Caenorhabditis elegans: one gene and its partner. The protein of the gene in region 2 purifies or fractionates together with the protein of the main gene of each other region. This does not show direct contact. Each region holds a gene or a part of one and is shown on either strand. Other genes may lie near its edges. The genes, in order: cysl-1 and cth-2.

Region 1 (4,357 bases), on a different chromosome or scaffold from region 2:
GTATCACAGGAAACCCTTTTTACGACTTGCCTCCTACAATATTTGCGCTATGCCAGTGTTTGTTTTTAAGGTTTATACAGTTGCTCTCAACTTTTTAAATTACCAGAAATATCATTCAGTAGCCCTTATTAGGATTGTTTTAATTTCGCAAATATGCTACTAGAACTTTTCCATTACTCTTTTCCAAAAAGATGGGTACGTGAACCATTTAAGTTTATGTCAATTCAACTGAACATGTTCAAAGGAGTCAGCTAGAAAACTGTGAACTTTCCGCTCAAATAATTTCATAGTGAAACCATCAAACCAGACCTCCGTGGTATAGTTTTCCGATTTGATAAAGATCGCGTTAAATATCCATACTACTAATTAAATTGAACTTCTCGCTTGAAACCACATGCAGCGTTTGTCTCGTTGGCCACCACTATCGGTGAAAGAATTTTTCTGGCGATTAGCCAAACCAGGTTTCATTCCTCCTTATTAGGGTCAGTGTTTCTATCTGCACTGACCTTTTCATGAGACATCGACAAGCCTATTTCATGCCTCACTGTGCTAATGGTTTAATTGTTTTTAAAAAAGTCGGTTATCCTCCCAGTTTCGTCAGTTCAACACCAATCTTAGTGTCTGCGGGTTCAAAGCATACAAGCTATCTTAGATCACAGTACAAAACACTAATTGCATTTATTGAAAAAATAGACAGCGGAACATTTACATGGAAAAAATACGAAAGAATGCAAATTATTATAATGTGTAGGTTTTTTGATTGAATTACCAGCCGATTTATCATTTTTAGTGAGTAACAACCTTGATAATTTTTGGGTGAAAGAATTTAAATGAAAGAAAAAAGAAAAAAGTGAGATGAATTTTTGATTTAAATCACTCCATAATATCATAGTTGTGAAGACATAACTTCTTCAAGTTTGCCTCCAAGCTTTCGACTGCCAGAGCCATAGCGCTTTCGCGGATGTCGGTGTACAAAGGAGAGGTCCTGGAAAAATGGTTTTTAAGATCAATCACAGTAAATTGTACATGATTACTACGTTAAAGATTCAATAGTTGTTTAACTTTCTATCAGAAATACTCAACATCCGAGGAATCAGATGCAAACTACTAGCTCACATCACAAGTAACATTTTAAGTCAGTCATCTTACATGTATCGTTCTCCACAGCTTGGCAAACAAGTCACAATGAGCTTTCCAGCCATTTCTGGGCGAGCAGCCAACTGAAGTGCAGCTGCAACATTAGCTCCGGAGGAAATTCCTAAAATATAGAATTTTAAAAACATACTTCTTTCAAACTATCAAAGCAAACACAGTCACACAACCTACCGCCAAGAAGACCTTCTTCATAGGAAAGTCTTTGAGCCATGACAATAGCCTCATCGGAATGAATTCGAATTACGTCTTCATAGATCTTTGTGTCCAAAACAGCTGGAGCAAACCCTGCTCCAATGCCTTGAATTTTGTGTGGACCGGCTGGTCTGCCGCTGAGTATAGCGGATTCTTCTGGCTCCACAGCAAACACGCGGACACCTGGATTCTGCTCTTGCAAGTATCTGCCAACTCCGGTAATTGTTCCACCAGTTCCAACCCCAAAAACAACAGCGTCTACTGTCCCTTTGGTTTGTCTCCAAATTTCTGGTCCAGTTGTTTGATAGTGAACAAGTGGATTATTTGGGTTGTCAAATTGAGCAAGAATGATAGACCCTGGAATGTTTTCCTTCAGCTGGTTAGCCATGTCAATCGCTCCTTTCATTCCTTTCGCTGGGTCTGTCAAGACCACCTCGGATCCATATGCTTTGAGAAGAGTTCTCTGTAAGATATATATTTTATATGTTAAAAAATTTTCAACCCGGAGATTTGTTTAAAATCACAGATGACACAACTGTACTCAATAGCTAAAAAAAAAGGTTTCAGTACTGGCAATTCCTGGGGTGAAGATTTGCATCCATAAGATCAATACTCACGCGTTCTCCACTCATAGATGCTGGCATTGTGACAATACATCTATACCCCTTGGCGGCAGCAACAAAAGCCAATGCGATTCCAGTGTTTCCTGATGTTGGCTCAATGAGCGTGGTCACTCCCGGGATCACCTTAAAAAATTTTAATGCAATTTTTTGAACAATGGTATTGTTGATGAAGCACCGTTCCATCTTTTTCGGCCGCTGCAAGCATTGCCGCTCCAATACGATCTTTGACCGATCCCGCTGGATTCATGTATTCGATTTTTACAGCTGTAAACTTGAAAATTATAATAGGATAATTGGACTTTTGTTTCTTCTTGAAAATTCAAAACATTTTTGATTTGTAAAATTCAATTTTATCTACGTTCTGGTTTTACTATTTTTCGTACTTTCTTTTAAGTGAGACTATTTGTCAAAGTTATATTTTGTTGAGAAGTTACAAAACTCGGTTACAGTGGTATTGCATAAAAGAAACAAAAAAATTCAAAGTTTCACCAGTATTGTTCAAAACATTTTTTAAGATTTCGTTTAATTCAAATGAATAAACCAACCAACTGTCCCTGGAAGTCCTTTTGTCAATTTATTGATGTACACCATGGGTGTGTTGCCAATAAGCGCGGCAGCATTTTCGCCAATAGAGTTGCGATCAGCCATCTGAAACATCGACTATGAGTTAAATGAGAGTGTAGACAATAACGAGAGAACGCAGAAAAGGGAAAACTATATCACAGGAAAGAAATATTTTAAACTATCAATGACTATTGGCACGGAAACAAAATATTTTTCTATCATCTGTTTCTGCTGGTTTTGACACCAAACTCCAAATGATAGTTGGACTTTTAAACAGAAGGAGATAAGGAGATAAAGAAAATGTTATAAGATAGGGAGAGATAGACGACACATGTCTAAGTACATGTTGTGTAGCGGAACGAATGCACAATCAGCTGGCATTTCTTAAAGGTTGGCACACATCTAATGAGCCATTGAATGAACATTCTAAGGAAGCAATGAGGAAACAAACAGAACACGCAACACAACGAGCAAGAGATAGAAGAATATCCCGTTGTTGTATCTTATAGAGCAGCTGCAACGAGACAGATTTATAAAAATGAAGTGAGCAAGTAAGGAGAGAATGAATCCACGATAAGATAATAAAACAACAATAACCGCTCAGTATGACATAATTGCATTATGCAAATGTCGGTGAGCTGGAAAATTTACAATGGGAAAAGAAGAGATGATATCCATTTATTAGAAACTGGGACATTTTTGATGATAAAAGGTAAACCACTTCGTATTTTTCCCGAAAGTATAAATTAAACTTTTTAGGAACTCAGACAGAGTTATTTCAAAAAATTGTTATTTTCTAGATCAAGCACGATAAACTCCAAACATGGAAAAGCATTTACATGTACATCTATTATAGGTAATTAGGAATAGTTTATCCTGAATAACCTTTATGAGTCATGAGTTAAACAAAACACGAAAACGCCCCACTCACCGGATTAAACCAATGAAAAGTACTTGCACGTTTCGATATATACTTAGTGTTCTTGTTTTGTAAAAATAGCAAATGCAACAACTAACCGGCTGGTATTATTTTGATCTTTTGAAACTGCACTTATTAATGAAACATTTCATTCTTTGAAGTGGAATCTTGTTGCAAAAATTGAAGGATGTAAAAAATGGATCTCCTGTCATCTAATAGAAACATTCACACGCTTTTTCCATTTTCTTTTTCTTCTAAGAAAACTCCGAGAAGGATGAAATAGGAGGTGATGGGGAGTTTTCTTAATAAAAAATATAATGAACAAACGATCAAATTACACGATATCGCGAGGCGTTTTCAGAATTTACTTCAAAAAGTAAACTTTGATCATTTTAAAACGGCAGTTCTTAAAGAGCATTAGACCTTTTTACAGTTTCTATCTGGATATGTTTCAAAATTCTTTGAAAACACATTTGATGATTGAGAAAACCAATAATAGTAGTGTCGAAATAGTGTGAAGTAAGCAAAAAGTAGTAGTTTGCATGCAATAATGTCCAGAAAGCAAAAGGTCACTCGTGCTATTTCTTCTATGCACTTCAGACTTCATCAGTAGCATGGGAAAATTCCCACGTCGTCCAGAAACGTTGAATATAAGAATTATACTGTCGAGCATGCATTTATCTCTATATCTTTTGCAAAAAGATATAAAACACAAACGATAAAAAGAAAAGAACAAAACTGGATTGTGGAGACCTACCAAGGTTGATAAATAAATTAAAAAGCGGTAACAGAGACAATTTTTGTTAATTTCTTTGTTGATGAAATTACAACGATGAATTGAATAACAATTTCCACACGCATGCTGTTTCATTCATATATACTTTGACCACTGGGACTACTTCTC
Region 2 (4,210 bases):
GACCTCTTGATGGGAGGACGCCCAGAACGAACTTCATATCCGCCTAAATACTTGTGTCGTCCTTCACTTGAAATGATCGAAGATAAGCTCAAAAAATGGTTCGGTCTGAGATTCTGTGAAGAAAATGAATCGTATCCAAGCGAGTTTAATAGTGTCACCGATTACGAACTTCCCGAGTATATCATGGCTGAAGTGCGCGAGGTAATTTTGAAACAATAGATATTGCTTATTTTTGTTCATAGCTTTCAGATAAGAGAGCAGAAAGAGAAAGAAACACAGACAACGGGATCGTCGAGTCGGAAAAGAAGAGTACCATCCCCAGAAGATTGACAGAAGAAGATGAAAATTATGACATTCAAACTTAAATGATCTCTCTATGATTCCTTCTACGCTATCTAATTATAATTCAATGTGTACCTTTCTTTCATATACCAATTGCAAAATATCATGTTATGTATTCCAATTTCTGTTTCGAATAACAATTATCATTTTTCATAGAAAAAATTTATTGGATAGTGTAAGACACAATTTGAGTCGATTAGTTAGAGGTTGTGGTGGAGACGAGTGGGCAATTAAAACTAGTACCGGCTTTCAGATTTGAAACAAATGCATATCATAAAATGATTGAAAAGTTATACTTTTGGAATGGCAATCTTCAAAGCTTGATCCAAATCAGCAACCAAATCATCGAGATCTTCAATTCCAACAGAGATACGGATAAGGTTATCAGTGATTCCAAGAACAATTCGAGTTTCAGCAGGCACTGAAGCATGAGTCATGATAGATGGAAGCTCGGCAAGTGATTCATATCCTCCAAGAGATTCAGCCAAAGTGAATACTTTGAGAGCAGAAAGGAAAGCACGACTCTCTTGAAGTTCTCCTTTAAGATAGAATGAGATCATTCCAGACATTCCCTTTGTTTGTTTCTCATGAACTTCATGTTGTGGATGAGATGGAAGAGCTGGATAGAGAACTGATTCGATACGATCATTGGCTTCAAGGTATTTGGCAACAGCAAGAGCATTTTCATAGTGAGCTCTCATTCTGATGTGAAGAGTTTTGAGTCCACGATTAACAAGGAAGCAATCAAATGGAGATGGGACTGCTCCGACGGCTGAAAATAATAGCATTAAAATTTTGAGTTAACGATTAATTTAGCTATCCAATGAGATTTTAAACAGTTTTATAATTTTGCGACATTTGACTCAAGGTACATGTTCTCGATATGAGCGAAACTTTGCTTCTACAGTACCCACAAGTATTTAGCAATTTTTTTTATAGTTCCAATGTATTTTATATGATTTCTAAAGCAGAGAAACTGATTTCTTTTCTAGAAAAACACGAAGAAATTAATATTGAAATTCAGTGAAAACCGTTAAGAAAAAATTCGAAGCACTTGCGAATACAGTAGCTGCCAAGTTTCACTAGCTTCAAGACCGGTTACCGTATCTATGCCTCAAAATGACAAAATTATACGACTAGATTTCACTGCGTACAACAGCACAGTAAACTAACCAAGTTGCATGAAGAAAAGATGTTGTTGGAACTCGTCATTATCAGTGATAACAGCACCCATAACAACATCAGAATGTCCATTAATATACTTGGTAATTGAATGAACGACAACATCCGCTCCAAGAGAAATTGGGCGTTGGAAGTATGGAGACATGAAGGTATTATCAACAACTACAACAATTTCTGGATTGGCTTTCTTTGCAGTTTGGACCACTGCGGCAATATCAACAACCTTCAAAAGTGGGTTAGATGGAGATTCAAACCAAACCATCTTGGTATTTGGTTTGATTGCTTTCTCGAGATTCTGAACATCCGTCAAATCAACCGAATCGACTTCCAATCCGTGATTAGGAACAGCAACACGGCGGATATATCTTTGAGTACCTCCGTAGACATCATCAGAGCACACAATATGATCTCCGTACTTGAGAAGATTGATGATTGCGGAAGTTGCGGCAAGTCCTGAAGAGAACACTTGGCAGTGTTTTGCGTCTTCGAGAGCAGCCAGATTCTTTTGAAGAACATCACGAGTTGGGTTTCCAGCACGAGAATAATCGTGTCCCTTTGGCTCTCCTGGATTATCCTGTTTGTAGGTCGAGGACAAGCTGATTGGCGGGACCACCTGAAAAGTATCAGTTCAGTATTTATATTCAGAATACCTATGACAAACCTGATTCATATCCCATTGCTCTGGTTCTTGTCCAACGTGGATAGCAGCAGTTCCGAAGTGTGGGAAAGTAGCCATTTTAATCTTGAGACAGGCTGCAATAAGAAGACTGATGTCGAGAAATGATAATCAAATGGATTTATAAGTGTGAGAGAAAGAGGAGAGAAAAGAAAAAAGAACGAATGAAAGGGGCGGGGTCAAACGAAGGGTCGGTCGACACGCCGAAAGTTTCAATGAAATCGTTAAAGAAAAAAACGTTCTTGACATTGGTCAAAAAGACGTTAATCTTCTATTATTTTTAGATTTTACAGAATGTAGCTGATTAGGCAAACAAGATGTTAAAAACGGAAGAAAAGAAGAAAAATAAATAGTGATGTGCAAAGAAGGAATGAACAATGTTTGATACTATTGAATGATGTACACATCTGGAATAAACACTCTTATCAAATCTCCAAACGAGACCATTTTGCAGAAAAAACCGGATATGAGAAGAAGCGTGGGAAATTGAGAAATTTGAAAAATAAAAGATAAGATTAACGACTGATAGGTGGCGTATTTTTCATACTTCAAAAAATAATATGTATTTGGCACAAGTTTGGTAATAAATTTGACATTTCTGGGGATTCTGTGGTGTTTTTATATGTTGGTTAAAAACAATTTTTATTGCTCAAATATGGTTTTTTCGTGAACAGCTGAATATTTGTAAATTCTATAGTATTTTTTGAAAAGTTCGGAATTTGAATTGTATAATGTCAAGTCACATTCTACGAACCAGAATCTTAATTTTTAACATGAATTGGCCTAATACTAGTAATAGAAACATTTTAATAGAAACAGAGGTTTCTACAAAAATACATTAATCCTACAGTACCCCGACCCTATCCCTCCCTACTAATATTTGTTTTTATAGTAAAAACTTAAAAATCGTGGAAAATGTTATTTTGATCGACTTCCAAAAGGATAGAAGAGAACTAACTTAAGTAATTACAACGTTGTATAAATAATAGAAATTTCCGAAAACATTTAAGGATGTATAAAAATTTCTATATTTTAGCACCATAAGATGAGTTTTTTTGAAAATCTCCACTGGCTCTGCATACAAACTACAGTAGGCCAACAGTATCATGACAATGTATCAGCTCAAGTTCACAAAGAGTTCTTGCTGCAATTATTTTTTTTTACAAACTATGAAAGTCAGTAATCATAAATGTATTTACTAATGACGATCTTGAAACAAAAGATAACACAGTTTGACGTGACTTACTATTAGAGTTTCCAAAGTCTTGAAGGAATTTTAAATTAACTGAAATCACGTAATTGTGCAGTTTGAACACTATCTTAATGTTTATTTTGTTCCTTCGTTTAGTTGATATAATATTTATCACATGTTACAGTTTTTTTTTTCAAAAAGTTCAAATTCCAGTGCCAATCACCCCACGTGGAGGTCTACCATGTGGTATTTTGTTTGAGAAACATGTCGATGAAATCAAATCCTCAAAGCATCGATTTCTCTATGTCTCGTATCATTTTTTCGTTATCAAAAAGAGAGAAGAATTTGTCTCATTCTCTCGTTGTGTCTACTGCAAACCAGCCACATGTGTGTCTCGAGCAGTTGGACAAAGGGCACCAGAAGGAGAGAGTTCAAGTTCAAAATATCATTTGGAAGAGGCAGATAGGGATTGAATACATAGAAATGATGATAATTGTGACGTGTTTTTTAATTGGCAACCTTGGCGTGGAAAAGATAAGATTTGAGACGACATTTCATTTGCAGGAAGTCTTGAATTTGGAGGAGGAGGAAAAAGAAAGCGAAAGTTTCAATTTATTGATCAATTGCATTTTCTTCTAGATTTAGAAATAGGTAGAGTTGCTACCAGTAGGTTTACATTTTATTGCTTGTGATCAGAAAGCAGGTTTTACCAATTTGCTACTTGAATGAAAAATTAATTTTTTAAATGTATAAGTACCCATAATTTTAGATTAACTAGATTAACTAACTAGATTAATAATTTTCACCAAAGGTGTAAA

The links.
Region 1: the proteins of cth-2 (region 2) and cysl-1 fractionate together in Caenorhabditis elegans (co-fractionation; one large-scale study listed by BioGRID). This does not show direct contact.

The regions. Positions count from the first base shown.
Region 1 is NC_003284.9:9,951,916-9,956,272, forward strand, and holds cysl-1 (Cysteine synthase 1), read right to left. Parts: upstream 2,619-4,357; coding exon 2,516-2,618; intron 2,235-2,515; coding exon 2,146-2,234; intron 2,094-2,145; coding exon 1,965-2,093; intron 1,811-1,964; coding exon 1,327-1,810; intron 1,259-1,326; coding exon 1,150-1,258; intron 986-1,149; coding exon 874-985; 3' UTR 664-873; downstream 1-663.
Region 2 is NC_003280.10:7,055,684-7,059,893, forward strand, and holds cth-2 (Putative cystathionine gamma-lyase 2), read right to left. Parts: upstream 2,278-4,210; 5' UTR 2,261-2,277; coding exon 2,186-2,260; intron 2,138-2,185; coding exon 1,516-2,137; intron 1,115-1,515; coding exon 633-1,114; 3' UTR 501-632; downstream 1-500. Other genes in the region: ZK1127.3 (EAF7 family protein), read left to right, coding at 1-201, 243-365.